Linked DNA regions of Lonchura striata. The protein of the gene in region 4 interacts with the protein of the main gene of each other region in a pairwise test. Links are inferred from orthologs where the notes say so. Each region holds a gene or a part of one and is shown on either strand. Other genes may lie near its edges.

Region 1 (7,950 bases), on a different chromosome or scaffold from region 4:
CAATCAATAAAAATTGATTCCACATGATTTCCCTCCTGGCTTGCTCGGGTGACCTGGGAGTGCCTGGCACCGCCCTGGCTGCCAGGGAAGTGGTGTGGCAGAAATGGTTGGCCAGAAGTGTCCATCTGTGGGAAGAGGTGGCTTCACTCCACCCCCTGCTCCCATTCCTCTGTTGTTTTCTCTCCGTGCTGGAGTGTGGCACTCAATCAACCAAATTCCCAGACATGCTGAGCATGCAGCAGTGTTTTGTTTGTCCCCATCCTCCAGCTTAGCTGGTGGCTGGAGCAACAGCACATTCCCTGTGTGCTGGCAGGCTTTGTGGAGGTAATTCTCCTTCAAACATCTCCAGGATGTTGTTTATCCCTTGGGAACAGCTGAACACAGAAAGCTGGTGCACCCCTCACCCCCCACCTCCCTTCAGGAGGGAGAAGCAAAGACCAGTGCAACCTGCTGGGCTTTGGAGGCACCTGTATTTTCCCATTGGGAATAATGCTACCTTTTAACAACCTTTTTACCCTGACTGTGCACTCAAGGCTTCCAAAAAGGATCTGGGAAGCTGCAGGGAGCAGCTCCAGGCATGGTGCTGATGGTCCTTCCCAAATCCAGCAGCAGATCCAGGATCAGGCAGGATCAGGCTTCAGCCACCACCAGGTCCCTGGTGACCTGGAAGGCGGCGATGAGGGAGCTCAGCTGGATCTTCTCACTGGTGCCAGCAGCCAGGCGGTACCTGGAGGGGGCCAAGGGCAGCTTTGGGGGTTTCCACCACTGTGGGTGCCCCCCAAAACCACAGGCTGTGTGCCAGCAGTGCCCAGCCACCACCAGGAGCCACCCCAGGGTGCCCACACTGTGGGAGTGACACTTACTCGATGTCTGCCAGCTTGATCAGCAGCTGGATGCGGATGGAGGGGGGGAAGTCGACTGTGGAGAGAAAAAAAAACACTCAGTGAGGGGCAGGAGGAAGTGTGGCCTCTCCAGAATCATCCGGAGCCAGACCCTTTCCCCACCTCTGTGCACGAAGAGATGGATCTCAGTGAGGATGTCCTGCAGGGCCAGGCCCTTCAGCGTCTTCAGCTCCATGATTTCTGGGATGAGAGCGAGTCAAGGCCCTGCTTCCAGGCGTTTCCCTGCCAGATCTGCTATGAAGAACATCCCTGAGGGGCCTCCCCAGTGAGCAGCACCCACCCCAGAGGCCACAGAGATCCCTGAGAAAGAGCAGGGTTTATCCCAGCTGGAAATAACCCCCAGGGTAGAGGATACTGCGGTAGGCAGTGGAAAAATCCTGGTTCAGCATCCAGTCGAGGATGTTGGTGATGTCAGACTTGAGGGGATGTCCCGTGCAGGTGTAAACGTTCTCCTCTGTCACCTTCCCAAAGGCCATGGAGGTGCTCTGAGGAAGAGGAGGGAACAGGAAGGATGAAGAGGCCGCTCCAGCTCAGCTGGCCAGGGGCTGATGGCCACACTCCCACCTGCAAGATGTTGAGGGCTCTGCGCATGTCCCCGCTCGAGAGGGTCACCAGAGCCTTCATCCCGTCCTCGGTCACATCCACCCTGGAAAACAACCCCCGGGGAAGTGGAACCGTGGGAATCCAGCCTGCTGCTCCTCCCTGGCAGGGAAGGGGGCAGAGGGGGCGTGGGGGGACCCCCCGCTCACCCCTCCTCCTGGATGACGTGCTGGAGCCGCGGCACCATCAGCTCCGGGGTCAGGGGGCCGAAGCGGAAGCGGGTGCAGCGGGATTGCAGGGCGGGAATGATCTTGGACAGGTAGTTGCAGATGAGGCAGAACCGGGTGTTTTCTGTGAACTTCTCGATCACTGCAAAAAGGACGGAGGGGAGGAGGGTCCTTGGCTGCTGCCTCGTCCTGATTCCCACCCTGTGCCGGGCTGGATGAGGCCGATGGCTGCCCACAGTGTGGGATCCATGCGGTGTGGGATTCCCAGTGCCCCTCACCTCTCCTCAGGGCGTTCTGAGCATCCTGGGTCATGGCATCGGCTTCATCCAGGATGACAAGCTTGAAGCCTTTCCTAGGAAAAGAGGGGTTTGGAGAAGGGGGAGCTGGGATGTTTGTTCCCAGCCCGACTCCTGGGAAGCCCTTCTTGCATCCTCACCCTGCCTGCTTGCTGGGCACCCACCCACCGCGGGACCTCCCAAATCCCCTTCCCAATCCAAGTGCCAGGGCAGGAGGGCACCAAAGAGATGGGGAGCTTTGGGAAGCACAGACCCACCACGTACTTAAAGATGGTCCTGGTGCTGGCGAAGCTCAGGATGGGCCCTCGGACGATGTCGATGCCCCGGTCATCGGAGGCGTTGAGCTGGAAGGGAATGGTGTGGATCTGTATCCCTGCATCCCATCCCTCCATGCCATGCCATGCCATGCCATGCCATGCCATGCCATGCCATGCCATGCCATGCCATGCCATGCCATGCCATGCCATGCCATGCCATGCCATGCCATCCCACCCCACCCCACCCCACCCCACCCCATCCCATCCCATCCCATCCCATCCCATCCCATTCCCGCTCACCTCCAGCACCATGGAGCCGAACTCCCGCTCCCGGTAGAGCTGCCGGGCACAGGCCAGGATGGTCGATGTCTTCCCGGTACCGGGCGGCCCATAGAGGAGCAGATGGGGGAGCCGGTCCTCGCTGATGAAGCGTTGCACTGCGGGATAACAACGGGATAACAACGGGATAACGGGGCTGGGGGACAGCCGGGACCGGCGGGGATGGTCACCGCGGGGAGAGAGCTTCATTACCGGTGCTGAGGATGTCCCGGTGAGACACCAGCTCGGACAGCGCCTGCGGACGGTACTTCTCCACCCTGCAGCGGGGATAGAAAGGAGCGGGAGTGAGCCGCGGGGCAGTCCCGCCGCGCTATCCCGGTGTCCCGGTGTCCCGGTGTCCCGGTGCCCCCGCTCCCGGCCGTACCACGGCAGGTTGGCGCTGCCCGCCGGCGCCATGTCGGGAAGTCTCGCGAGAGCGCCGCCGAGCGCGCGGGAGCGGCGGGAGCGGCGGGGCGGGGCCGGCCTGAGGGGACGGGCGGGTCTCGCCGGAGCGGGGAGGTCCCGGCTGCGAGTCCCGAGATTCCGGGCATCCAGCGCCATCCCTGCCCTGCTCCCCTCCCAGGCAGCGATCCCTCCCCAGTATCCATCCATTCCCCGTGTCTTAGTAGAGGATGGTTTAATTTTCTTCATTAAGAGGCCATTTCATAGCGCCTGGCAGGGCCAGATGTCCCCGGGCACCGCTGGGAGACCTCAGCTCCAGGGCTCCCACCCTCCCAGGGAACAATTCCCAATTCCAAATATCCTATCCAGCCTGCCATTCCCTGTGTCCCATCCCTCCATCCCTTGTCCCCAGTCCCTCTCCAGCTCTCCTGGAGCCCCTTTAGGCCCTGGAAGGGCTCTGAGCTCTCCCTGGAGCTTCTCCTCTCCAGGTGAGCACCCCCAGCTCTCCCAGCCTGGCTCCAACCCTTGGATCAGCTCTGGTTCCTCCTCTGGTCTCACTCCAGCAGCTCCAGGTTGTCCCTGTGCCTGCCCAGGGCTGGGCACAGCATTCCCACTGGAATCTCACCTGAGTGGAGAGGGAGAATCCCCTCATCCTGCTGTCCCTGGGGCTGGAACGAGCTGACCTTTAAGGTCCCTTCCGACCCAACCTGCTCCATGATTCTGTGGTTGTGGGAAGAGCACAGTGAATGTTCAGAGCAGAGTGGTGCCTGTGATCCTGGGGAAATCACGGCAGCAGGAATTGCTGGATCGAGGTTTTGGGAAAGCACATTGCACCTGCCCTGGGAAAGCCGATGGGATGAGAGGGACACCTTTGGGTGCAGGGACATCCGAGGAGAGCAGATTTGGGATCCTCCCAGTGTGACAGGAGCAGCAAACTCTAGAGGTGGCTGCCAGCACAAAACAACTGTAATCTTCATCCCTGTCCCTGCTGTCTCCCAGTGCCTCTGGAAAACCCCTGGAGCCTCCTTTAGAGAAGCAGCTTAGAGAGCAGAATCAGCCCAGGCTGCTGCAGCGATGCTCCGGTGCTGATCCCAGAAAGGAAAGCAGGCAGGAGTGAGAGGCACTGCCTTGGAAAACGCAGGTGGAGTGAGGATGGGAAGCAATCCCTTGGGAAGTGGAGGTACAGGGCAGGCAAAAAAAATCCCTAGAAAAATGCTGTTGCTGACAAAGGAAGTGAAAACATCAAGAGCTCCAAGCTGAATCCTATAAAAACACAAAAATCTGCTGGAGGGCACCTTCTCTCCTGATTGTTTTCCCTTTTTTCCCCCCTGCAGCCCCACAAAGGAAAGCAGGAGCTGGAAGCTGAGGTCAGCAGCCTCAGCTGTCCCTCTGGGCGCGTGATAGCCGTGACAGATGGCCCTTCCCTTCGGAGCCTCCAGGTCCTTCCCGGGCACCTGGGAACAGCCGGGAGCTGGGATTTTCCTGCACGTCCTGGATCCAGAGCTGCTGCTCTCCCCTGGAGCTGCCTTCGCCTGGGGCAGGCTCTTGTCCTCCTACATGGATTTTTCCAGGTGTTTCCCCACCAGTAATAAATCCGGGGCTCCAGAGCAGGGGAAATCTTTGGGGTGTTGTTTAGTGGGGTTGGGTGCATGTCCTCTGGTTTCCCTCTTGGGTGGGATGAAGGGACAGAGGTGGTGGGACAGGGATGATGGGACAGAGGTGGTGGTGACAGAGGTGATGGAGATGATGGGATAGGGAAGAGGAGACAGGCGTGGTGGTGACAGTGTTGATGGGACAGGGATCATGGGACAGAGATGATGGAGACAGGGAAAGGGGACAGGGGGACAGTGACAGGAATGATGGTGATGGAGATGAGGAGACAGATGATGGGGCAGGTGTGATGGTGACAGGGGTGGTGACAGGGTTGATGGGAGAGGGATGATAGGACAGAGATGATGGTGACAGAGATGATGACAGAAGTGATGGGACAGAGACGATGGTGAGATGGATGATGGTGACAGGGATGATGATAGGACAGAGGTGCTGGTGACAGGGCTGAAGGGACAAGGATGATGGTGACAGGGATGATGGTGACAGGGCTGAAGAAGCAGAGGTGATGGGAACAAGGTTGAAGGGACAGGGATGATGGGACAGAGGTGATGGGAACAGGGATGATGGTGACAGGGATGAAGGGACAGAGGTGATGGGAACAGGGATGATGGTGACAAGGCTGAAGGGACAGAGGTGATGGGAACAGGAATGATGGTGACAGGGATGAAGGGACAGAGGGAATGGGAACAGGGATGATGGGACAGGGATGATGGTGACAGAGGTGATGGGAACAGGGATGATGGTGACAGGGATGAAGGGACAGAGGTGATGGGAACAGGGATGATGGTGACAAGGCTGAAGGGACAGAGGTGATGGGAACAGGAATGATGGTGACAGGGCTGAAGGGACAGAGGTGATGGGAACAGGGATGATGGTGACAGGGATGAAGGGACAGAGGTGATAGGAACAGGGATGATGGTGACAAGGCTGAAGGGACAGGGGATGGGACAGAGGTGATGTGCTGGGGGTGATGATAACAGAGATGCTCTTCCACAGAGGATTAAACAGGTGCTCCTTAAGAGCTGAAATCCAAGGGATCCCCCCACCCCATGTGCAGCTGAAGAAGTTCTTTGCCATATTAATAACAAAATCCAAAGGCTCCTGTGGAGGAGCTCACCCTGAGCTGGAGCAGTGAACCCTCATGGGGTGGTTTTGGGGGAATTAGATGGGAAAGCCCTGGTGTGGTGCAGTGGTGTTGGTTTCCCAGGCTGGAGTGGCCATGCCAGGGCATTCCCTCTCCCTTCCCAGCAGGATGTCATGCCTGGAAGAGCACCTTGGCACTGAGGGAACATTAACCCAGTTTAGAGACTCTGAGTCACTCCAGACTCTTCCCTCATGGAGAAAACCAACAGAAGTCAATTAAAATATTACCAGATATTTTTATATGGACTGATTGTGCCATTCCCACTGCCTGGAATGTTCATCCACCTCTCAGACCATGGCCAGCTCCAAGCATGGGAGCTATCCCATGCGCTGCTGTAGGGTTTTTTGGGAATCATGAAGTTTGGTGAACACCCAAAATTCCTTCAGCTCTGCTGCTGCAGGCTTTTGGGATGGGTGCTTTTATCCCAATGGAATCTCCCTGCTTGCAAATTATTTTATATTCCCTTCCCTTCCCTTCCCTTCCCTTCCCTTCCCTTCCCTTCCCTTCCCTTCCCTGGCAGTTCTTGATGTCATTTCCCACCCCAGGGGTCCCTCTGAGCTCTCCTCACAGCCAGCCTTGGGGACAGGACAGAAAAGGGACATCCCAGCTCGGGGATGAGCCTGAAAATTAAAACTCCTGATTAAAAAAAAAAAAAAATCAGCAGATATCCAGCTTTTTTAGCCATATCCCATCTCGGAAGGAGTAGACCACTATGAGCATGGATCAAGCCATTGGGAATTTGGCTTGTTCTCCCCCAGAGCTGGGATGTCCCTTTTCTGTCCTGAATAATTCCTGAGTGTTGGCCAGGCTTGGCCCCCAATGCCAATGGGGCTTGACCCTCCAATGCCCTAGACCCCCTCAGTGCCCCCCAGTGTCCCAGACTTCCCATTTCCCCAGAGCCCCCATTTCCATTCTCCATCTCTGCCCCAGCCCCCACAATGCCCCATTTCCCCCATTACCTCAGATCCCCTGCATTCCCCAGCCCCCCATTATCCTCCCAATATCCCTGCCCTGCATTTCCAGCCCCACTCATTTCCCCAGGTCCCCCTGTAGCACCAGCCCCACAATGTCCAAGCCCCCACTTCCTCATTGACTCCCCATTACCCTAAATCCCCATTTCCATCCCTGTTACCCCAGATCCCCATTCCCACCCCTCCATTACCCCAGATCCCCATTTCCACCCCCCCCATTACCCCAGATCCCCATTTCCACCCCCCCCATTACCCTAGATCCCCATTTCCACCCCCCCCATTACCCCAGATTCCCATTTCAAAGCCCCATTACCCCAGATCCCTATTTCCACTCCCCACTACCCCAGATCCCTATTTCCACCCCCCGTTACCCCAGACCCCCATTTAACCCCCCCTCATTCTCCCTGCCCCCTTCCCCCCCAGTTCAGCATCCCCCCTTCCCCCCTGGTGCTGCCCTCCTGTCCCATTCCCGGGGTTCAGAGGGAATGGGATGAGCATGGAAAGGGCTGGGGATGGGGGGAAGGGCAGGGGAGTGGGGACGGGGGGATGGATGGCGGGAGGGGGTCGGGAATGGGGGAATTCTTATGAGGGTGGGGAGGTGTGGGGATAGGGGGATGGGGACGGGGTGATGAGGATAGAGAGATGGGGGGTTTGGGGCATGGGGTGGGCACGGGGAGGGGCGGTGATGGGAATGGGGGGGGTGGGGATGAGGAGATATGGGAATTGGGGTGGATAGGGATGGTGGGAAAGTGCTGGGGCTGGGGGTGACGAGGATGGGGGTGTTGGTAAGGTTGGGGGTGTTGAGGATGGGGGGTTGGTAAGGTTGGGGGTGTTGATGAGGATGGGGGTGTTGGTAAGGTTGGGGGTGTTGATGAGGATGGGGGGTTGGTAAGGTTGGGGGTGTTGATGAGGATGGGGGTGTTGGTAAGGTTGGGGGTGTTGATGAGGAGGTGGGTGTGGGTGAGGAGAGGATGTGGTGATGGGGCTGGGGGTGATGAGGATGGGGTGTTGATAAGGTTGGGGGGATGTTGATGGGGAGGGAGGGTGATGATGAGGATGGAGAGGTGTGGGGGTGATGGGGCTGGGGGTGATGAGGGTTAGGGATGTTGATGAGGTTGGGAGGGGTGTTGATGACGACAGGGTGTTGATGACGGGGTGTTGATAAGGTTGGGGGGTGTTGATGATGATAGGAGTGTTGATAAGGTTGGGGGGTGCTGGTGACGATGGGGTGTTGATAAGGTTGGGGGGTGTTGATAAGGTTGGAGGGTGTTGATGATGATGG
Region 2 (7,225 bases), on a different chromosome or scaffold from region 4:
GCCACCCCTGCCATGGCAGGGACACCTCCCACTGTCCTCGGTTCCAACCTGGCCTTGGGAACTGCCAGGGATCCAGGGGCAGTCCCAGCTGCTCTGGGAATTCCAGCCCAGGCCCTCCCCACCCTCACAGGGAAGGATTGTCCAGAATATCCCATTTACTCCTGCCCTCTGGCAGTGGGAAGCCATGGAGGATCCCATGGAGTTGTGCTCCCTCCAAAGTGCGGGACACGAGCATGAGCACTGCAGCACCAGGTACGTGGGGCCATTTCTGCAAACCCACAGGAGGTTCTAAGCCCTTTCCCCCAAAATGCCACTCTCCAGGTCACTGCTGCCTCAGGAAATACCGACGGTGGAGCCGAGGAAACAGCAAGCAGCTTCACTGCTGCCCACGAGCTGTGCTGTCACAGCACCTCCAGCTCCCAGCCCCTCGCTCACAATCCCATCACGTAGCAGCAGGCAGAGAATTGCTCTTTTTAGGAATTCGGACACAAACAAGTAAACCCAGCCCTGGAGAGCTCCCAAACCACTGCAATCCATGGGAAATTTACAGTCAGCTCGTCCATGGCCGCACCGGACCTGCACGAGGAGATGCTGGCTCTGCTGCGGGGAATTTTGGTGTCACTCCTGGCGGGACAAAGGGTTCCCCGAGGGGCTAGGGCTCCGTGGGGAGGGGCTGTACTCACCAGGCCATCGCAGGTGCTGAGGGCAGCCAGCCCGCCCTGCAGCGCCCGGCCCCGCACCTCGCCGATCATGTGGCACGAGTCGGAGGAGCGCGGCTGGATCTTGGCACCGGCAATGCCCCCGAAACGCCGCTCGCTGACAAAGCCCGGGGCCAGGAGGTGCCTGTTGAGGCTCAGGTTGAATTTCAGGGGCTGCCCTCTGTACTGCAGCTCGTAGAAGGCGGGAAGCTTGCTCCTGGAGGCCGGAGACCTCCGCTGAAGGGCCCGGTGCGACAAGTCGTAGGACAGGAAGGATCCGCGCTCGTCCACCTTGATGGGATGGACGATGTCGCTGCCGGAGCGCGGCTCTGGGGAGAGGGGGTGCCGGGGTTACCCGCAGGGTTCTTCACCTTTCCTCCCACACCCCTTCCCCCGCTGGCGGCGGCAGGGACCGGGACACCAGCTGGATGTGCCCGCTGGGACGGCACGGAGCAGGGACAGCAGGGAGAGCAGGGACATCACAGCAGGGACATCAAGGAGAGCAGGGACATCACAGCAGGGACATTAGGGAGAGCAGGGACATCAGGGACTGCAGGGACAGCAGGCACTTCGCCTGCCCCTGCTGCCCCCGGGGCCAGCGCTGGGCTTTGCCGGGGACAGCATTAAGGTCCGGGTTAGGGCCGGCTGGGCGAGGGGGAGTCAGGCAGCTCCGGAGCCCGGCCCCGGCTTGCCCCTATTAACTCCCGCTGTTAAACTCCAGCTGCAAGGAGAAAAAAGCACCGAACAAACAACGAAAATCTCCCGAAAAATGGAATCCACGCTTTGAGGCGGTGTTGGGACACGCCGTCTCTAGGAGCAAAGCGCCCGCGGAGACTGAGTGCTCCGGAGCCGCCCCGGGCGGGCTCAGCGCGGACAGCCGGGAGGGCACCGGGGCTCCCGGGAGGGCACCGGGGCAGCCGGGAGGGCTCCGGGGCTCCCGGGAGGGCACCGGGCTGTCCGGCTCCGGGCACCGCGGCTGCCGGCTCCGGGCACCGGGCTGTCCGGCTCGACGCCGCCGAGCGCCCCGCGAGCATCCCGCAGACACCCGGCGCTCATTGCCGCGGACAATCCCGCGGACAATCCCACGGACACTCGCGGCTCCACCCGCTCATCCCCGCGGACAATCCCGCGGCTCCACCCGCTCATCCCCGCGGACAATCCCGCGGACACCCAGCGCTCATCCCCGCGGACACCGGGGGCTCCACCCGCTCGTCCCCGCGGACAATCCCGCGGACACCCAGCGCTCATCCCCGGGGACAATCCCGCGGCTCCCCCCGCTCATCCCCGCGCACCCCCGGCGCTCGTTCCCGCGGACAATCCCGCGGCTCCCCCCGCTCATCCCCGCGGACAATCCCGCGGACACCCAGCGCTCATCCCCGCGGACAATCCCGCGGCTCCCCCCGCTCATCCCCGAGGACCCCCGGCGCTCGTTCCCGCGGACAATCCCGCGGACCCCCGGCGCTCCGCGGCCATCCCGCCCCCGTCCCCGCGGACCCCCGCGCCCCTCCCGCGGTCCCGCCGAGCCGTGCCCCGGACCTGTCCCCGCGGTGCCCCCGCCCGCGGCCAGCGCCAGCGCGGCGGCCACGGGGACGAGGGGCAGGAGCGGGCGCAGCGCGGCCGGGGCCGCCATGGCTGCGGCGGGCTGGGGGCTCCGCGGGGCGGGGATATTCGTGTTTGGTGTTATTCATATTGGGGCGGGGTTATGTACATCAGGAGGCGGGGTTCTATTGATGCCTTAAGTTTCAGCTTTCCCATTTTCCGCATTCTGCACTGCTTTAGTCTGTAGCTTGGAGCTTCCTACAGAGTGTCAGCAGCTCCCTCACAGCTCAGTCACACAGAGCAATCCTTTTCCAGCCCAGAGCCAAGGACACCGCTGCAGCTTCAGCACCAAAAAGTGCAAACAATAAATTGAGGAGAGCAACCCGGCAGGATGGGACCGCACAACCTGGAGCTGCAATTGGACAATTAACCCAATATGGAAATGGACCAAAACTTATAAAAGTGTGAAAAATCATGACCTGGAATCCAACTTGGGTGTAGCCACGCTCAGGCTCTTGTACTGCCCAAGGTGTACCCTGTGAAGGGATTTAATAAATCCCTGCTTTATTCCTTTAACTCTGCCCGGTTTTGTTCCAGGCAGCCTCTCAAGGCATCAATGCACGCCGGACGGGCGGGGCTATGTACATTCGGGGCGGGGTTATACCAATTAAAAGGCGGGGTTATGCACATTAGGGACTGGTTTTGCCAATTAAGAGGCGTGGTTATGCACATTAAGGGGCGGCTTTATGCGCATTAGGGGCGGGGTTATGTACATTAGGGGCGGGTTTCTGTGTATTAGGGGCGGGGTTATTCACATTAGGGGCGGGTTATTCGCATTAGGGGCGGGGTTATGCACATTAAGGGGCGGGGTTATGCACATAAGTGGTGCTTAGTCAATTAAGGGGCGCGGTTATGCAAATTAGGGGCTGTGTTATGTACATTAGGGGTTGGGTTTTGTCAATTAAGGGGCGTGGTTATGCACATTAGGGGCGGGGTTTATTTGCGCGTTGCCAGCGTGGCCCATGGCGCCCCCTGGCGCTCCCTTGCCGCTTTGCATCTTTTGCCTGGCCGTGAGGACCGCGATTAAAAAAATCACAAAAATTCAGCGAATTTTCGGTCAGAAATAAAAAACGGTCTTTGGCTGATGCCGCCATGTACTCCCTTTCCTCTGCCGGGGCTGCCTGTCGCTGCCTCCTTTTATTTTCTCTCGTGTTGAAGCGCACCGGGAGCAAACACGCGGGATTACTCCTCTCTGTTAATTACCCCCTCGGGGGCTGCTCGCAGCTCTGGCATCCCACAGCTTCCCCGGGACGGCCGCACCTCCGCTGATGGATTACGTTTGGGACAAAGTTTAATTAGGCGATAATGTTAACTACGCCAATTAGGCGATAATGCTAACTCCGCCAATCAGCCGGGGGCGCGCCCTCTGGCGGCCGGAGCAGGGAACGCCCTTACTGCGGGTGCCGACACCCGCTGCCGCCGCTGGGTGTGCGTAGCGCCCGGCTAGCTCAGTCGGTAGAGCATGGGACTCTTAATCCCAGGGTCGTGGGTTCGAGCCCCACGTTGGGCGCATTGCGTTTTTCCCGTTTTTTCTCGGTTTTCATTAATTTTTTCGCCCCCCGGCCCGATCCGGCTGCTCACGGCGCGGGCAGCCGCGCTCTGGGCAGCGGTCCGGCTGGCGGGGCGGAGCGGGCGGGCGGGACTGCATGTCCCGGCATGCCCGGGCCGCGGCTGCGCGGCGGGGCCGGGCCGGCGGCGGGGCCGGGCCGGGCGGCGCCGGGGCCCGCGGGAGCGGCCGGAGGAGGGACCGGCCCTTATAAATGGCGCCCAAGCAGGACCCCAAGCCCAAGTTCCAGGAGGGTGAGTGCGGCAGGGCCCGGGGCCGTGCCCGGTGCGGGGCCCCGCTCTGGCCCCGCTCTGGCCCCGCTCTGGCCCCGCGGCTCGGGGGGGTTTGGCCCCAGCGCTCCCCGCTCAGCCCCGACCCGCTGGGAATAGGTGGGAAAGCGAATTCCCGCAGCTTTGTCCCTTCCCGGCCTTCCTCTCCGCTCCCGGCAGCACGCGGGCCCTCCCCACCCCGTTCTATCCTTCATTTTCCTGCGCGGATGTTCCTCGGTGTTAAAACGGCTGCGAGCCCTCCGGTGTGTCGGGGGTTTTGTTTTGGTGCGTTTGGAAAATGGTTGTTATTTTTTTTTATTTGTTTGTTGTCGCCCGGAAGGGAGCCCAGTGCAGGAGGATTCATGGAGGCAGCGGTGGATGCCAGCACAGCTGGAATCCACATCTGCCGCAGAGCACCGGGGTTTAGGTGGGTAAGGATGACTCGGGCTGTTTAGGAGGATTTTTCGACGTATATTTGGATTTTTAGGTGATGGTTGAGGTTGAGATTAATAAAGTAAGAGAAACGGAAATAGCAGTGCAGTGTAAGATGGATGCCCCATCCCTGGAATGTCCCAGGCCAGGCTGGACGGGGCTGGGAGCAGCCTGGGACAGTGAAGGTGTCCCTGCCATGGCAGGGTGGGATGAGATCAGCTTTGTTGTAAGGAACAACGTGTGGATCCAGGGATCAGCCCGTGTGTGAGGGAGCAGGAGCCTGCCGGGTTATCATGGAGACAAAGAACCCTTTCTGCGGATCATCCCTGTGTTGTTAAAAATGAATGTTCCTCGGTAACTGTGGGCATCTCTCCTGCAAAACACTGCCCAGCTCTGAGGCTGAGGTGTGTCTGCCACCAGCACTGTGAGCACCGTGACGATGAGGGTGGCAATGCCACCTCTGATTGTCAGCCCCGTCTCTAGGGACATTTTTAAATAAATAAAAGGACCAACTGTGTGATGCATCAATGTGGACAACCAGCGCCTTTTTCTTTGTGAGACACAGAGGCATTTCACAGTTCCACAGCTCATCTTCCCAAAAGCAGAAAGCACTGCAGCTTCCAGGAGGAGATGTGCCCTCAGATATCCTGGGTTCAGCATCCTGCAGTTCCCTCAGTGGAGCCACACAGTGAGGCTTGGCCACGAGGAGATAAAACCGGCCTGAGGGACAATGTCATCCTGCTCCAAAGCCCACAGTGAGGGGGTTCTGCTGCTGCCCAGCCCTGCCCTGCCCCACAGGCTACGTGGGGAAGCAGCATGGGGGTCTCTCTTCCTGACTCCCCTGGGCTGGCAATGCCATGTGCTGCCCTTCCTGCAAGGAGAGGACACGGGTGACAGTGGCAGGAGCTTCAGGTGCAGAGGTGGGTGTTAGACAGTGTCCTGGGTCAGTGACCCCTCAGAGGGGCAGCTCTGCCTGCCTGTGGCTGAGCCCAGCCTGCTGTGGGGGCTGCAGCTCCCCGAGGCTGGGGAGGAGCTCTGGGGATGTCAGGGAGGAGCAGGGATGTGGGCTTTGCTGCCAGAGTCACCAGCACTGTGTGCTGTGTGTGTGCAGCTGCTCTGGCATCTCGGGGATCTCTGCTCTGATCCCTCTGCCGGGACAGAGCATTTGTTTCTGGGGTCAGTCCTGCCTGGGAGCTGCCCCCAGGCTGCTCTGTGCTGTTCCTGGGGCACAGGCTGTGGGCATGGCCCCTGAGCTGTTTCTCTGCGCTGTTCCTGGGGCACAGGCTGTGGGCAGGGCCCCTGAGCTGTTTCCCTGTGCTGTTCCTGGGGCACAGGCTGTGGGCATGGCCCCTGAGCTCTTTCCCTGTGCTGTTCCTGGGGGCACAGGCTGTGGGCACGGCCCCTGAGCTGTTTCCCTGTGCTGTTCCTGGGGCACAGGCTGTGGGCATGGCCCCTGAGCTGTTTCTCTGTGTTTCCCTTGCAGGTGAGCGAGTGCTGTGTTTCCATGGACCTCTCCTTTATGAAGCCAAGGTGGGTGTGGGAGGCTGCAGGTGGCTCCTGCTGCTGCCCAGGAAAACAAGGACATGTTTCTGTCTGCTGTGCCTCTAGATGGGACCAAGGACTGGAACTAAATTTAACAGAAAGCTGTCTGAAATCAATTTCAGACCCTGGGGCTCTATTCCAGAACCATTTCAGGAAGCCCAGTGGCACCGTGCAGCTATTTTGGGAAGCTCCCAGAGGCTGTTAGAACATCCCAGAACACTGAACACTGGAAATATCCCAGAACACTTTGTGCCTGCAGGATTTGGTGCCTGAGCTGCTCAGGGGGAGGGGGCTGAGTACAGCCCGTGGCCTTCCACAGCACCAGTGCCCAGGAGGAGCTGCACTGCAGTGACAAAGGACGTGGCAGTCCCAGTTCTGCTTCCCAGCTCTGGCTCTTTCACCACAGGAGCCTGCAGTGCAGATTTGTGCCCCTGCTGCCTCAGTGTCTGAGTGCCCCACTCCCCCTGGAAGGGAAGGAAAGGGCTCTTGGGGCTGTGTGGGTTGGAAGGTGTGCAGAAATTCCTGGGGCACCTCAGACAGGGATTTAAATCCTTTGGATGTTAACACAGGGAGGCAGGAGAAGCGCTCAGCTTCTCTCTTCAGGAGAAAGAGTTGTTGTAATGCTAAAATCTCTCCCAGAGCACTGAGAGGGTTTGGGCTGCTCCAAACCATTCCCACCTTAGGGCTCCTACTCTGCTCTTTCCTGCCTCTGGATCAGAAGGATGAGGTTGTGGGATTTGTTGGGAATGTGTGCTCAGGGTTGTTGTGCCTGCAGAGAGGAGGGTGATGGAGGCTTCTGGCTTTGAGGCAATGACCTTGTGCCACCCAGCCAGCCCCGAGCTGGAGCAGCTGTGCTTGCCCTGCTCTTGCCAGGGTGGAATGAGTGCTGCAGGAGCAGGCTGTGCCAGCTGGGTGCTGCAAGGGATTTCCCAGCTCACAGGTGGCTTTTGGCTGGCTGTTTGTACCCAGTGGGTCCTTCAGCGTTCCTGCGCTGGCAGAATGATCTTGAAGTTTAATTTTAAAAAGGTTTGACTTGTTTATTTTAAAGAGTTTCATTTTAAAAGCTGCTTTGTCAGTAGTAATGAATAACAACCTTGGCTTTCTTCCTGCTCCTTTGATCTGTTTTTCTCCTGTGGTTG
Region 3 (7,810 bases), on a different chromosome or scaffold from region 4:
CATTCCTGGCAATAGAAACATGTTCTAAGTGGGTTTGTGTAATCATTTATTAAATAACTACTTTTATGCAATATAGTTCAGTCTCCTAACTGTTCATCTGGATGGATGCAAATGTTCATATTCATATTTCCAATCACTTCAGACAGCAAACCAGTCAAAATAATTCAAGAAGGCTGTGATATCTCCAAGTAGAAACCATTTTTTTCAACATCCTTTAACTGTATTGCCTTATACAGGTAACAGTTTCAGTTAATTTTATGTCTTATTGGTGTTTCAACACCACTGGGATTGCATCCCTCTGCTCCCTCTACTCAATCTCTGTGCACAAGAAGCATTCATAACATTGTCCCCCAAAGACTGGGAAATTGTAATTCAAAATTCCTGGTACATTGAGATTGGTTTATACACTATGATGCTCTTAGAAGTAAAAAAATGGGAACTGTCTTCCCATCTTTCCACCTCAGACAGAATGATAGGGAATTTGCACCTTTTTTAAAAAGGAAAGGTTACAGTATTATGCAAAACATGTCTCCAGCAGCCAGTACTTGAAAAAAAACCAGACTTTTACATGTTCTATTATAACTACAAAATTATGTATAAAACAATTGTCTACTACAAAACGACAAAAGACTGAAAATTCTTTCCCTGTTTACCTACAAAGATGTTACCATCCATGCTCATTCTTGGTTTTACAGCTTTCCTCCACTATTTTGTAATTTTATCTTAATTTTTTTTTCATTTATCCAAGAAGAATTAGAACTTTTTAAACCTACAGAAAAGAAGAACATGTTGTGAGCTGCAGGTATAACACTGGCTTTTAAGTGAAAGATCTCATCAAATTTTCTTACGTCTCCATCTGTTTTTCAGTCTGCACAAATATTGTTTATATCCTCTTGCAGATGTACCTATTTGAAACCTGGACAACCTCAATCTAAACAAAGCTTTCCTGGAGTGGATCACATTTCCTGCTTTCACTGAGCTCTGCATTGGCATAGAAGTCCAACAAAACAGACTGTCTTGAAAACAGAAGCCTAAATCAGTAAGTAAAAATGTACTTAAGACATATCCATCTAAAGTACATTTGTTAACTTAATACTTCAGAATGAAAATATGAATCATTTTGGAGAGAAATAAGCAATGCTTTCTTTTGAACACATTTCCTTGACAAAATAGCTTTAAAGATTATTCTTAATCATACACAGCTACCAAGGAATTAAATTCTAGCCCACTACAAGTAAAGGTAAATGCTAAGTTTCCGATGTCTTTTTATGAAAAACTGTACTGACAAATTAATATAAAAATGGAACACGTAAGTAATAAAGACATGCTTTATGAACTTCTGCAAGCTTGTCATCATTTGTCAGATAAACACTGTATTTTCATTGCTTTAACATTCTTTTTTTTAGTTAAGTCTTGGCTCTACACAATTTCTATTTGTCATTCCATTGCCAGGGCCATATTTAGATTAAGTATCACTGTTGTTGTTTTACAGGTTTTCCACTGAAAAATTATAAAACTTTTTTCCTTTAAAAATAAATCCTTTGTGTGCAGGAGAGTGCATATGCTCCTGAAAAGGCCATCCATTCTGAATGGATAAAGAGTATGATTTAAACAAATGGTACTTGTAAAATATTATTAGTGTCTGCTGACATTTCTTATGCTAAAATATGAACACTTAAAAGTGAAAGTACAAAATTTCTTAATACTTTAGAGCCTTGATCAAAGACCCATGATGCACTGGTTTAAGCAAAGGTTGAAATACACTTTAAATGAAATGGATTTTTATCTATTTAACTATTAAAACAATACTACATTTAAAAGCATGGACTCTAGCTCCTTTCTATATTTATACCAACATATATCTTATTTCAAGACATCAATGCTGCATGGAGACCAATATAAAAAATACATAAAGAATTCCCATAATAGCACCATTACAGATATCCATCCTGTAGCTTCCGAGGTCAGCCTCTTCTGTGAGTGGAATTACAGAAGTTACGGCAGCTGGGAGCAGCAGCCCAGTCGTGTGCATTTGGAAGCAGCTCACATTCGCTTGGCGTCGAAGCCAGCCACAGGTGACAGCTTGTCTGGCTGAGATCTGGGGTCAGGCTCATGCCACCAGCGGCTGAGAATCGCTACTGGAGTGTTCATCTCGGTCACCAGGCCATGAAGCTTGGGGGAGATCAGCCTGCAAATCTGCCTGTGCTCGATTCCCACGACACCGGCGTGCCCACACACTCTGTGACCCAGAATGCCAGGGACATGCTAACTCTGTGGGGTTTTCTCCAGATTCTTAATTAAAATTTCACAAGATCGTAGAATTAATTAGGCTGGAAAAGATCTGAGATCATGGAGTCCAACCTGTGATTGAACATCACCTGTCAACCAGACCATGACACTGAGTGCCACGTCCTCAAACGCCTGCAGGAGCGGTGACTCCACCACCTCCCTGGGCAGCCCATTCCAGCACCTAATCGCCGTGGTGAACAAATTCTTTCTAATTATTTCCAACTTAAACCTCCTCTGGCTCCTCATATCCGTTCCTACTACACATCCCCGGACCCGTCTAGCTTAATTCTGACCCACTGCTGTCCTGCTCAGGGGCGAAATACTGTCCCGCACAGCCGGGCCAGGAGGAAAAGCAAGCTCAGCCCTACCTACCAAAGCCCCGCTTCTCTGGGCGCTGCTCCCCGTTCCCCTCGGTCCCCAGGGCCAGCCGGGGCTGGCACGGCGCTGAAGGGCAAACCAGGGCTGCGGAGCAGCCGGCGGCTTGTGCCTCTGAGACTTTCCCCCGACCTCACCGCCAGCGCCAAGGCAAGGGCGGCGGCTCCCCGGACGCTAGTGAGGCGGAGAAGCCGCACTCCCGCTGCCCCCGGCGAAGCACGCCGCGCCGCTCCCGCACGCCGCGCCCCGGCGCCCTCACCTCCGCCGCGCGGCCCGCCATGGCGCCGCCCGCCCGCTCCCCGCTCCGCCGCCATCTCCCCGCGGCTGCGCGCCGCTCCCGCCGCCGCCGGGGCGCGGGCGGACACCGGGCGTGGGGCGGCTCCGCGTGTCTCAGGAAACAGAAACCACGTCTCGTTGTACCAGGAATGGCGTGGCCAGCAGGATTAGGGAAGCGATTCTTTCCCTGTGCTCGGCACCGCTAAGGCCGCCTCGAGTACTGTGCCCACTTGTGGGCGCCTCTCTGCAGGGAGGACACTGAGGTGCTGGAGCGTGTCCAGAGAAGGGCTGGGAGCAGATGTCCTAGGAGAAGCGGCCGAGGGAGCGGAGGTTGTTTAGCCGAGAGAAAAGGAGGCTTAGGGGTGACCTTATCACTGCCTACAACCACCTGACATAAGGCTGTAGCCAGCTGTGGGTCGGCCTCTTCTCCCACGCAGCTAGTGGCAGGATGAGAGGACATAGCGTCAGGCTGTGCCAGGAGAGGTTTAGATTGGACATTAGGAAGAATTCCTTCACAGAAGGAATGATTAGATGCTGTAATGGACTGCCCAAGCAGGTGGCAGAGTCACTGTCCCTGGAGGTGTTTAAGGACGTCTGGACGTGGTGCTCAGTGCCGTGGTCTGGCTGACAGGGCGGTGTTGTGTCAGGGGCTGGACTCGCTGATCTCGGAGCAAGCTGATCAGCACTGATCTCTTTTCCAAGCTAACTGATCCCGTGAATCTGCCGTGGGATGACCGTGGCAGGTGTATTCCCTGTGGGCTCCTGTGCTGTGCCCGTGGCTGCCGCAGGGTGAGAACGCTCCCGAGCGGGCGGCAGCCCTGGAAATAACTCGCTGTCCCAAGCAGCCTCAGGTGTGCGGGCACAGTTTCTTTCCACTGAGGCTGCCGGCTGTTTTGGGCTTGGATCTGGTACTTGGATCTGGCTGTGGGGCGAAAGGGACACCATGATGCTGCCCTGTGGCAGGGCATGACCTTCTTGTGGTATTGGTCTGCGAGCCCCACCATGCTTCTCTCAGCCCTAAAATGAATGAAAAATAAATGACATTCATGTGATTTGAAACTTTCAGTCATTATATGGTCCTTCTCCGGCAAACATGGCTAGGGAAGGCAGTGTGACACACAAGATAAAGGCTAACGGAGAACAACAACAAAAAAGTTGTAAAACTTCCTGTTTTCAATATAGTACTGTGTTGCTTTTGGTATAATCAGCTAAATGGAGCTATTGGTATACACAGAGTTAAAAAAAAATATAAAGTCTCGTAAGGTTACAGCTTTTTGATATGATGAAGTCTGCTGGACATGTCTGATTATGCAGTAAACGTCTAAAAGTAAATGCAGTTTAGTCAAAGGTATTTGTCATTGCCTTTGTTATAATGCTTTCCTCTTTCCCATGTACTTCCTATTTCATGTATTTCACATAGGTGTTCAAAATTATTTTTTAAGAGATTGCTACTTCCAGAATTTTGGCTCTACAGTAAATCTATAAATGATGCTGGGGTTTATACTCCAATACAGTAAAATGTTTGTATGATTTTTTAATACATGTTTTTGGTTTTATTCACTAATGAGGTCTGTGTTGCCCTCTGCTGTCAGTAATCTGATTTTACCTACCTGAAGGCACCAAATATGTTTTGGCAAGAATATCATGTAATGCAGACCTCTTTTTCCTTATTTTGACATAATGAACATCACCATTACTAACCACACAGAGAAAAAAAGCCTTGCATTGTTGTAGAGGATGTAAAAAAAAATAGATAAATTATTGTAGTGAACCAGTTTATCAGTGCTCATCACTGAGTGATCTCAAACCTTCCCTTGAAAGAGCTGAAATGGTTGCATTATACACTGATTGCTAATGCTGTTCAATTCGTCACTCACAGTGTGTTTGTGCCAGACTCATGAATTCACCAGCGATTGAATATGTGATGCAATGAGTAGCTGAATGCCACAGTTGAAATCAGGCTTCCTTTTTGCCTCGTCTTTGTGTCTCACACGGGAAAAAAAAAAAAAAAAAAAAAAAAAAAGAGTGGAACAAAACCTATGCCAAAGAGTTTTATGAAACCAGTGATCAAGAGTTTGAAGTATGACTGTCCAGAAATGACACAGTAACATACTAGCAGAACAGGATCAGAACCTTCCAGGTTCAAATGTGGCATGTCATGCAGGGGCCTGTGTTACATATTTTGAATTATTTCTGTAGCCTACATATGTCAGGAATTCAGCAGCAGCTCTCTTTGCAACATCCAGGAGTTTGCAGTTTCATTTCAGTTTGGGGCTCCAAGGCTTTAAATGCCAGTTTTCTTTAGTCTTTCTGTACCTGTGTGATTATGAGAACAGTACATACCGAATTCCTTATGTCCTCAGCTGAAAGTGCCTACCACAAAGTCACAGAGCTCCCTTGGCAGGAAAGCAAAAAGAGAACATGGCTTTTTCCTTGTGATTAGCCCTCCTTTGAGATGGGATCAAAATTGAGGGTGCCTCTCCTGGAGACTGGTTCCTCACTCAGAGGACAGTTTGGGCATCTCCATTAAATTGTCTTTGATCCAATGAATAAAATTATTCATCATTATTCCAGTTTCCCATTTATAGAACAGATACAATAATACCTTTGAAGTAAAGCAAATTAAAAAAATATTAAAATTATACACTCAGTAAATTCATACATATATGTATACATGTGTAATGATATATGTGTATGTCTTTGTCTCTGTATGGTTTTCCAGGATAATATCAGTGTACCAGTGATAACTTCCTTGAAACTTCAGTATTGGCTGTGATAAGCATCTGCATTTCTAGAAACATAGGCTTCTATTCAAAAGATGGAGATATTCTGGCAGCTGGTAAAATATTGAGTATCCAGAGAACTATTTGGAAAAATATTGGTCCATCATAAGGTTTCTGTAGAGAATAGTATATGCTTCAAATACGCCTCTGTAATTTGTTTGATTTTTTTAAAATTGTTACTTTTAAAGAAAAACCAACAAAACCAAGTACATGGATATAATTTATTCATAATTTTTAATATATTTTTACTTTATTTTTAAAATTGTGTCCTATCTTAATGGCATAATAGGATTTATGACATTAATTTTGTACTCCACCACTGTAATTCTTCCTGAAAAGCTTTCTTCAGTTTAATTTTTTTTTTGTTTAAAGGTTATCTTGTCCATAAGTCTGGATTTGTATTGATTTTAGAGTTCCCAGGAAAAAGACAAAATGTGGAAATGTGATTCTCTTTTTAAAAAGGCTCCCTGCCTTCTACTAGCAAGAGAGGAAAAAAAAACCCAAAAAACATAATATGAACCATGAAGCAAAGCATTATAATTAAATGAAATTAAATCGAGGCCAAAGTTGCCGTGCTCCCGCCCCACAAAGGAATAAACCAATACATAATACAGGGATAATAAAACATACAAATAACGCAACTCCACACAAAGTGTTTTGAACAGTCATCTCCCTCTATCCTTAATGATATGCAGAAGGGAATCCTATATAAATGTCATATTCCTAGACTCTGAAAATCCACGAATTGGGCCGTATTTTATGACAGATTTCATTTTGTGAGAACACTTTCAATCGCAGCATTTGAAATTTGTTGATACATGCAAAGAGTGACTTCTTGGGTGGCTGTTCTTTTCAAGAGTCACTTTCACATTTTCAGGCTCTGATCCAGTTCTGAGAAGGAGGTGGATGAGGCCCTGGATTTCCTTAGGCTGGTGTTGAACTGATGCTGCTTCTGTGTGACAAGATAAAGCCTCCAGCACTGAGCAGTGGATGAGCTTGGCAGTAATGCTGCTCAGCTCTCCTGATATGGCAGCCCATGCTATTTATTTCCACGTCTTGAGATTCCTGTGCATTTTCTGTAACACTGGAGTGTGCTGAATTTAGGATTATGAGGATGATGCACATAAAGTTAACCAGGTAGTGTTGATGAGAGATATATCCCATGTGTTTCCTGTCTCTTCCTCCTGGCATGAGTTCCAGTACATGGGAGGGAATATACCACCTGGAAGACCTGAAATTGAATTGCCAGGAAGATTATGAAGAAATTCTGCCAGAGTCAGCGGAGTGTTATGAAGCCATCTGAGTAATTTGCTTAGTTAAGCACTGAAGAACACTTCATTTGAGGGAAATTGAGATAAGCAGCTCTCTCTGTGTCCCCTTTTCTGCTATGCACAGGCAGTGAACCAGTCTGGTGTTAATGAGTCAAATATGAATTTGTTGTGGCAGGCCTGGGGTTGTTTATATACACACAGTGCTCTTGAAATAGTTACTTCTGAAGGAACCAGCAAGTAGATCAACTACAAAGTGATCCTGTGTTCCACCACTACACATCTTGGTGGACTGCAATGCCAGTACAGGAAATATGAGAAAAATATATTGGATCTTTTTCAGTGCAAGTGAGTTTCCAAAAGAAAATGCAGCCATTCTCAGATCATTTTTTCTTAGAGGTATTAGCTAATTTAGAGCCACTGACTATATCCATGTAAAGAGAATTGATTATTTTTTCTTATTCCATTACTTGTGGTGACCTGCAGTTAATTTTCATATTCCTTTTGCTTGCACAGTCACTCAGTATCACAAGATTCTTTGCAGCCACCTTTCAATTTAACTCTCTTGAACCATAAAGGCAAACATTATTATCTTGCTATTTACACCTTCACATGCATTTTCAATAGTGCATATACTTAAGCCAGCCTACAAAGGGTACTATTTTAAAATCCTGGAAATTTCAAAGAAGACAAAGAAATTTAGGACTCCCATATATTTACATCCTGGGCAGGAAGATGATGCTAATGATTAACTCACTGTAAGTGAACATGTGGCTTTCTTGAGTATAGTATCTGTTCTAGCACTTTTAAAATTGGCAG
Region 4 (7,319 bases):
CAGCCGATGCGGTGCTGGGGCGGGGGTCGCAGGGTGGGCAGGGGGGGTGCACAGTGAGCTGGCACGTGCTGCGGGGAGGGGGCTGGCGGCTGGTGCGTGGGCGCTGCGGGTGGGGGGGGTGGCGGACGGGACCGTGTGCCCGGCGTGGGCGGCAGCGCTGACGTGGGAGCGCACAGTGCGACGCGTCTGTCCCCACGCGGGAACGGGCCCGGGGTGGGGGGGACGGTCAGCACGGGGCTGTACAGGGAGCTCCAGTCCATCGAGGGCTCCCCAGCCCTGGGGGACGGCGAGGGAGCGGAGCCGGGCGGGATGAAGGTATTGCTGCTGCTGGGAGTCGCATCCCGCCGCGGCTGAGGTAACCAGAGCGTCGGTGTGGGACGGGAGGGGGCCGGGGGGGCTGTGGATGAGACCCCCCCCCGCCCACCAAGCTCCCCCGGCCCGGAGCGCCGCCGCACCCGTCCCCCCAGCACGTTATTGCTTCGTTAATGGTGGCGGGGGGGCTACAGGGGCCTCACTGCCTGCTGGTCTCCTGCTCCACCTTGATGGTGCCCCGAGGTGGGTCTGGGGGGGCCGGCGGACCCCGTTCTGCCAGCCCGTCCTCGAATTCTGTGGGGAGAAGACGGAGATGGCGTCAGGATGGCGATTCTACAGGAGAAGGCAGCGGTGCCGTCCTGCCCCGCCGGCCCCGCGGGGGCTCACCTGGTCCCGGGGGCTTCCCCGGCAGGCAGGGGCTGAGCCGCCCCACGCGATCGTGGGAGACCAGGCGGGCCAGGCGCAGCCCCTCGTCCATCAGCGTCTGCTGGAGGATGTGGCGGCTCCAGAGCCCGTGGGGCGCGAGGCCGAGGGGCACGTCCGGGGCCGCACCGGGCGGAGGGGTCAGCCGGGGACAGGCCCCCGCCGCTGCCGAGAGAGGGGTGACACTCAGCGCCAGGAGCCGGGGCACGACCACCACCAGCCCCCCAGGAAAGGGAAGGACCCCCACTCACCCTGCAAGTGGCCGTCGAGGCTCTCCCCGGAGAGGCTGCCCGTGTCCTCCTCCACGCTGGCTCGGTACCCGGCCCCGGGGGGCTCCAGCCCCACCGGCAGTGCCAGGAGCTCGGGACGGCTCTGCTCTCCCGCCTGCCAGGAGCACACAGGTGAGCAGGTCCCCCGCAGCACCCACCCCAGAACACCCACAGCCGTCACCCCAAGCTGGCATGGGCAGCCCCGGGCACGTTGCGCCGTCACACCCACGCTCACAGGTGTGCACACCTGCACACGCTCCCCCTGCACCTGCACCCACCTCCTGCTTGAGCCGCTTGGCCACGACGGCGCCGCTGTCCTCGGGATGGGCCCTGGGGGTGGAAAGGGGCTGTGTCAGGGGTGGGGGTGGCCGCAGCAAGGCACCGCGCTGTGAGCGGAACCGCCAAGCAGGGCAATGCCAGAAGCTGGGGATCTGGCACGGGTGGAATTGGGGGCGGAAAAAGAGGGAGGCAGCTGGAGAGCAAAGGGAAAAAGCAACCCTGGCAGAGCGGGCAGGGGACTTTGGGGATGGAGGCAAGAGATAGGGCATCCCCAGCGGCATCCCTTTGCTGCCTGGCATCCCTTCCCACGCCTGGCATCCCCATCATTCCCATCCTCCCCACATCCCACGCTCCGAGGTCAGGCAGAAACCACCCACATTGGCAAAAGGGAACTGGGGGCTGTAGGGTCCTGGCCCCATCCAGAAGTGCTGGATCATGGTGCAGGTCCCAGGGGGCAAGGGGGTGACAGCCAGGCCCCACCAGGCCTGCAAGGGGGGGTTTTCCCAGGTGTGGGCTCACCTGGCGACCTTGAGCGAGGACAGGTAGGTGCTCTCCCGTGCCACCTGTCGTGACAGCGAGAAGAGCTCGACGCGCCGCAGCAGCAGCGAGTTGTCCCGCAGGCAGAACTGGGCGGCCGCCTCATTGATGATGAGCTGGGGGCAGAGATGATGCGTGAGCGGGGACAGGGACGGCAGCGCCCACGGGACAGCGGCGCCCACGCAACCCTCGGCTAAGGCACCGCCGGCTCCAGGCTGGTGGATGCAACCGGCGTGGGAGGAGACCTCGAATCCCACCCACTCACCACACCCCCAGAGCCACCCCGGTCCCTGTCCCAGCCCAGCACATCTCAGGAACTTCAAGCACGGAGCCCACCTCGTGCAGGGTGAGCTGCTTGCCCTCGCGGCGCCGGGCCTCGCCGCGGCCGTAGATCGCGCTGTGCCGGCGGATCTCCTCCTCCTTCTGCCGGTCACCATCCTCCAGCTGGAAGATGTGCCCCACAGCCTTGGCCAGCTTCTTGTTGAGCTTCATTAGCGCCCGCAGCTCGGCCTCGCCGCCCCGGGGGCAGCTCTGCAGCAGCCGCTCCACGCTCTCCACCACCGTCCGTGCCAACTCCGGCTCCAGCTCCGTGCCCACCGCCTGCTCCCCGCTGCTCCCGCCCGGGGAGAAGGGGGGACCGCCCGGCTCCTCGTCCCCACCACCCTCCGACTCGGGGGTGCTCCTTCCCGGCCACGGTGGAGCCGCTGACGGTGACAGCTTCTCCCCTGGCTCCGTGGGGCTGCGGGCTGGGGGCGTCCCGGCGCTGCCGCCCCCCTTGCCCGCGGCCTCGCCGGGGCTGGCGTGCCCGTTGCTGAGCGCCTTGCGCCCGCCGGCCTCGGAGAGCTTGAAGAGCGGGATGCTGCTGACCGGGACAGCCGAGACGGGCTGGCTGAAGAGCCCCGGGTTGGAGGCCCACTCGCGCAGGGCCTTCTGGAGGCGGCGGACGTGGAGGGGCTTGGTGGCCATGCCCACCAGCGCCATGATCTCCAGGAACTCCTCCTCGCCCGCCTCGCAGAGCTGCTGCACGTCGTCCCCCCCTTGCTGGATGAAGGTCTCGTAGTAGCCCAGCAGGTTGGCGCGTTGCAGCACCCGGTACAGCTGCAGCTCCCCCAGCGTGCGGGGCAGGGCCATGACGAGCCTGTGGTGGACAGAGGACAGACGGACTCACCACCGGGATGGACGGACATGCAGGAGAAAGCCCCTCCCCACCCTGGGGCCTGGGGGTACAGGGCAAAGGGAGCATTCCCATGGATGGGTGTTCCAGTGTCCCTAAACCCCACGGGGTGCCCAGTCCCACCCATGTGCTCCGGGCTGGGACGGTCCCTGCGGCCACAGTCCTGGGTATGACACAGACATGAGTGGGGTCACTCATCCCAGCCCCTACCCCTTACCCTGGGCTGTGCCCAGCCTCTGCCCCCACCCCAGCCAGCAGCCCCTCCGTGCCAGGTCCTCACATGGAGCAGGATACACATCTGGGGGCTTCCCCCAGCCCCCCCATCCTCGGGGGGATGTGCCAATGCCGATCCTATGGCCAACATCCCCCAGCCCCTGCCCTGCCCGTGCCCTGTTCCCCCGTGGTCCCCTGGATCCCATCAGGGCCATCCCTCCCTGGTGACCCCGCCCCACTCGGTGCCCCCATCCCCACCCCGGTCCCACCAGGGCCATCCTCCCCCAGCGTCCCCGCAGCTGCTTGGTGCCCTGCCGAGCCCCGAGCCCACCCTGTGCCCCATCCTCCCCCATTCCTCCCGGACCCACCGGGGTCACCCCTTCCCTGGGCTCTGCTCTGCCCGGCGACCCCCGCCGTTCCATCCCCCCGCCGTCCCCACGGTTCCTCAGTGCTGCCACGGCCGCCGTTCCCCCACGAGCCCGCCGACCCCTCCCGCTACCCTCCGGTGCCGCGGTGTGCCCCCGGTCCCATCCTCTCCCCGTGCATCCCGGCGCGCCGGACCCGCCCGGAGCCCCGTAGCCAACACCCCGTGGGCCCCCCGCCCTGCTCGGTGTCCCTCGTCGCTCCGTCCCCCTACGGTCCCTCCACTCCCACCACGGCCACGGTCCCCGGGACTCCCGCCCCGGCCGGTGCCCCCCGGTGCCCCGTCCCCTCCCGCCGTCCCCCGCTTGCTCACCGCCGCCTGGAACCGCCTCCGTCCGCTCCGCCCGCCCCGCCGGGCGGCCGGCGAGGGGCGGGGGGGCTCCGGGGCCGGCTCTAGCCGGGGGTCCGAGGGGTGCCGGGGCTCGGGGGTCCCGCGGCCGGGCCGGGCGCTCTCTCTCCGCCGCGCCGCGCCGCTCTGCGCGCCGCCCACACGGGCGGGACCGTGAAATAGCAGCGGCCCCGGCTGCGCCGCGCGTGGGAGGCCCCGGGGGCGGATCCCGCGGCTGCCGCCCCCGCCGAGCGCGGGGGGGGGGCAGCGGCGGAGGCGGCAGCACCGGCCCCCCTTCTTCCCCACCCCCCCCCGGCACCGGAGCAGCGGGAGGAGAGCGGGAGCGGCGCCCCGCACGGCGGCATCGGGGGTCCCGCAACCCCGGCAGGGACCGGGCAGGACACGCGTGGCACGGGGGGCCCGTGGGAGAGGCAGAAGCCCGCTATGGGGACGCAGTGCTCGGTGTCGGCGCGGACACCCTGAATCCCGGGGGTCCCGCGGGCAGCGCTCGCAGCATCCCCGGTTTCGGTGGCAACCCGACCGGGAGCGGGGATGCTCCGGGTAGCGGCACCGCTGTCCCGGCAGTGCCCCCCGGTGCCGGAGCCCTTGCGGAGGGCTGGCACTCGGTGTCACCGGCACGCACACGCTGCCATCGATGGGCTCCGGGGGGAGCGCGCCAGCGGCTCCCCGGAGCGGCGAGAACGGGAGCGCACGGAGGTGTCTCGGGTGGGCTGGGGGGATGCTGAAGCCCCTCGGCGGCAGCACCGGGGTCCCTCCCGCGGGAGGGGGGGTGTCACGGCCCGCACCCCGGTCCGGCCCTGCGTGCCTCGGCGCTATTTATACCGCGGCCGGCGCCTGGCGTGGGGCCAGAGCCGCCCCCGCGCGATCCTGGCCGGGGGGCCGTGCCGGTGCCCGGGGCACATCCCCGGTGCTGCCGGGGGATCCCGCACGGGCACGGTCCCCATGGCGGGGGTCCTGCCCAAGCCCTCCCGGTTCACCCCCTCCCCACAGCCCCCCTGTCACTCCCCCCGCCTTCCACGACCAAGCGTCCGGCGCGGCGGGGCCGTTCCCAGCCCCGGCGCTGCCCCCGGCTGACGCACATCCTCCGCCCACGGCCCCGCCGCTTCCCGGCTCCGCCGCCCACGGCCCGCGGAGGGGGAGCGGGGGGGCCGCCCGAGCCCGCTCCCCGCTGCCCGCCCACGGGTGGCCACCGCCCCACGGTGGGGGGCGGGGGGGAACCCGCGCGGAGAGCGGCACCCCCTTCCCGGGACTGGGGGAGCCTCGCCGCGAAGCGACAGACGGTGCCGGCAGCGGGGCGAACCGGAGCCCCCGAGCCGAGCCGCCGCTTGACCCGTGGGATGCGGGACCCCCTCCGCGCCGCGGGTCACCGGTGACCGTCGTGCCACGGCCGCGCTGGCAGAGCCCCGTGCGGGCCGGCGGGCCCCGGGCCGGTGGGAGCGGCGGGCCCCGGGCCCGCGGGTTCGGCGGCCGCGGGAGGGGCGGGGGGCGAGGGGCGGGACCCGCGCGCCCCCCACGCGTGACCCGTTCGCGCCAACACCGCGAGGCCGCGCCCTGATAGGCGGAGGCGGTTGTCAATCACACGGGATACCCGAGGGGTGGGGGCGTGGCTTGTGATGCCTGCGCTCTGATTGGTCGAGGGGCGAGTCTGTCAGAGCCGTTACCAGGGTGGGGCGTGGCTGTTGAGTGAATGGCGGGCAGGTTGGTCACCGTGGTAACCGAGGGCGGGAACATGGCTGCTTCCTGCATGCTCACTACTGATAGGTTAAAATCTCTGTCAATCAACCTGGCAGAAACAGAGGGGAGGGGCGCGAGATCAAAGCTGAATTTTGATAGGTTAAACCAACTGTCAATCGACGACAAAGCCCGGCGAGCGCCTCTCCTATTGGCTGTGGACTCTCCTCGGCGGCGGGACCGGGCGGAAGCGGAAGCGGCCGGTGCAGCCGCGGCGGGAGGGATGAAACCGGCGCCGGGGCGGCAGCGGCTGTCGGGACTGCCGGTGGTGCTGCTGCTGTTGTTGTTCCTGTCCTTCCTGCTCCTGGAAGCTGCAGGTGCGCGGGACAGTGGCGTCCATGGGCGGGGACCGGGGGGAGTCATAGTGGGGAGCGGGGCAGCGGCGGCTCCCGGGGCGGCGTGGCGGGACCATGGGACCGGCGGCGTGGGCCACGGGGAACGGCCCGGTGTCCGCTGAGAGGCACCTTCCGCCCCCAGGGAACACTCTGAGCGCTTCCCGGGGCCGGTGCGGCCCGGTGGGACCGGGCTTTCGTGTCCCGGTGTCCCGCCGCGCCGATCTCCCGGTACCATCGGGCCTCGATGCCGTTCGGGAGCCGCTTCACCTCGGGGGGCGAGTGCGTGCCGGAGGCACCCTCGGGTTTGTGTCGCTGAGGTGGGATTTTGGAGCTGGGAGTCGGGCCAGAAGGGACGCGGGGATGGGGATGCGCTGATCCCGACAGGGCACGGGGTTATCCCAGAAAAGAAGCGAGGGCGAATTCCGAGGAAAACAGCGGAAATACCGTGGGGAATATGGCAAAGTGGAGAGAAGGGGTTGGGTGGGTGAAGCAGGGGCAGCAAGGCCTGAGCCCTTCTCTCCGTGCTCGCCAGGCCCCAAGGATGCGATCGTGGCGCTGCAGGAGGGCCACGCGTCCCAGCACGGGGAATCCCGGCGCTTCTGCTACACCAACACCCGCGTCCCGCGCTGGAACGACGTCTGGACCAGGACACAGGTGGGGGCAGCAGGAGGAGGCAGCAGATTGTCCCTGCTGCAGCCCCTCCGTTCACAGAATTCACAGAATCACTGGCTTGGAAGAGACCTTCGAGGTCATCCAGTCCCACCCAGCCCCAACACCTCAACCAGAGCCCGGCAGCCAGTGCCACACCCAGGCTTGTGTTCAACACACCCAGGGGTGGTGGCTCCACCACCACCCCGGGCAGAACATTCCAGAGCTTTGACTGTGACATTCACATTTTTTGGACAGAGAGAGGCAGACCTCTGTCTCTCAGGAGGAGAAAAGAAAACAATCTTTATCTCTGTTCTTTTGTTTTCTCTATGTGGGATTTAGTATAAAGGTTGTTTTCTTCTCTCTGTGCTTCAGAGACAGAGTTGTGTCTCTCTGTCCAGAGAATGTGAATGTCACATACAAGTCTTTCAGTCAAAAACCTTTTCCTAATACCCAACCTATATCTGCCTTGGTGCAGCTTGAGACTGTGTCCTCTGGTTCTGTCCATTCCTGGAGAAAGAGCCCGACCCCACCTGAGCACAGCCACCTTTCAGGAAGCTGCAGAGAGCAGTGAGCTCATGTGGGTCTCAGATTCAGTCAAAGAAAGAAACTGAGAGTTTCTAGCC

What was found.
Region 1: the proteins of NAB2 (region 4) and RFC5 interact in binary tests that used the Homo sapiens proteins (3 or more experiments, as listed by UniProt). The link is inferred for Lonchura striata from reciprocal best matches to the Homo sapiens genes NAB2 and RFC5.
Region 2: the proteins of NAB2 (region 4) and MORF4L1 interact in binary tests that used the Homo sapiens proteins (3 or more experiments, as listed by UniProt). The two-hybrid records come from large-scale screens. The link is inferred for Lonchura striata from reciprocal best matches to the Homo sapiens genes NAB2 and MORF4L1.
Region 3: the proteins of NAB2 (region 4) and TCEANC interact in binary tests that used the Homo sapiens proteins (3 or more experiments, as listed by UniProt). The two-hybrid records come from large-scale screens. The link is inferred for Lonchura striata from reciprocal best matches to the Homo sapiens genes NAB2 and TCEANC.

The regions. Positions count from the first base shown.
Region 1 is NC_134620.1:3,082,947-3,090,896, forward strand, and holds RFC5 (replication factor C subunit 5), read right to left. Parts: upstream 3,008-7,950; 5' UTR 2,958-3,007; coding exon 2,926-2,957; intron 2,819-2,925; coding exon 2,754-2,818; intron 2,660-2,753; coding exon 2,523-2,659; intron 2,310-2,522; coding exon 2,230-2,309; intron 2,022-2,229; coding exon 1,948-2,021; intron 1,812-1,947; coding exon 1,652-1,811; intron 1,549-1,651; coding exon 1,467-1,548; intron 1,388-1,466; coding exon 1,258-1,387; intron 1,083-1,257; coding exon 1,005-1,082; intron 919-1,004; coding exon 864-918; intron 728-863; coding exon 631-727; 3' UTR 452-630; downstream 1-451. UniProt on the Homo sapiens protein: Subunit of the replication factor C (RFC) complex which acts during elongation of primed DNA templates by DNA polymerases delta and epsilon, and is necessary for ATP-dependent loading of proliferating cell nuclear antigen (PCNA) onto primed DNA.
Region 2 is NC_134613.1:23,960,849-23,968,073, reverse strand, and holds the start of MORF4L1 (mortality factor 4-like protein 1), read left to right. Parts: upstream 1-4,212; 5' UTR 4,213-4,339; coding exon 4,340-4,397; intron 4,398-6,027; coding exon 6,028-6,074; intron 6,075-7,225. Other genes in the region: ADAMTS7 (A disintegrin and metalloproteinase with thrombospondin motifs 7), read right to left, coding at 684-1,027, 1,670-1,844. UniProt on the Homo sapiens protein: Component of the NuA4 histone acetyltransferase (HAT) complex which is involved in transcriptional activation of select genes principally by acetylation of nucleosomal histones H4 and H2A.
Region 3 is NC_134604.1:99,181,742-99,189,551, reverse strand, and holds the start of TCEANC (transcription elongation factor A N-terminal and central domain-containing protein), read right to left. Parts: upstream 3,002-7,810; 5' UTR 2,979-3,001; coding exon 2,924-2,978; intron 2,894-2,923; exon of another isoform or gene 2,662-2,893; intron 1-2,661.
Region 4 is NC_134629.1:5,746,489-5,753,807, reverse strand, and holds NAB2 (NGFI-A-binding protein 2), read right to left. Parts: upstream 3,011-7,319; 5' UTR 2,952-3,010; coding exon 2,157-2,951; intron 1,937-2,156; coding exon 1,803-1,936; intron 1,335-1,802; coding exon 1,283-1,334; intron 1,120-1,282; coding exon 987-1,119; intron 901-986; coding exon 700-900; intron 607-699; coding exon 512-606; downstream 1-511. Other genes in the region: NEMP1 (nuclear envelope integral membrane protein 1), read left to right, coding at 5,667-6,027, 6,578-6,699. UniProt on the Homo sapiens protein: Acts as a transcriptional repressor for zinc finger transcription factors EGR1 and EGR2. Isoform 2 lacks repression ability.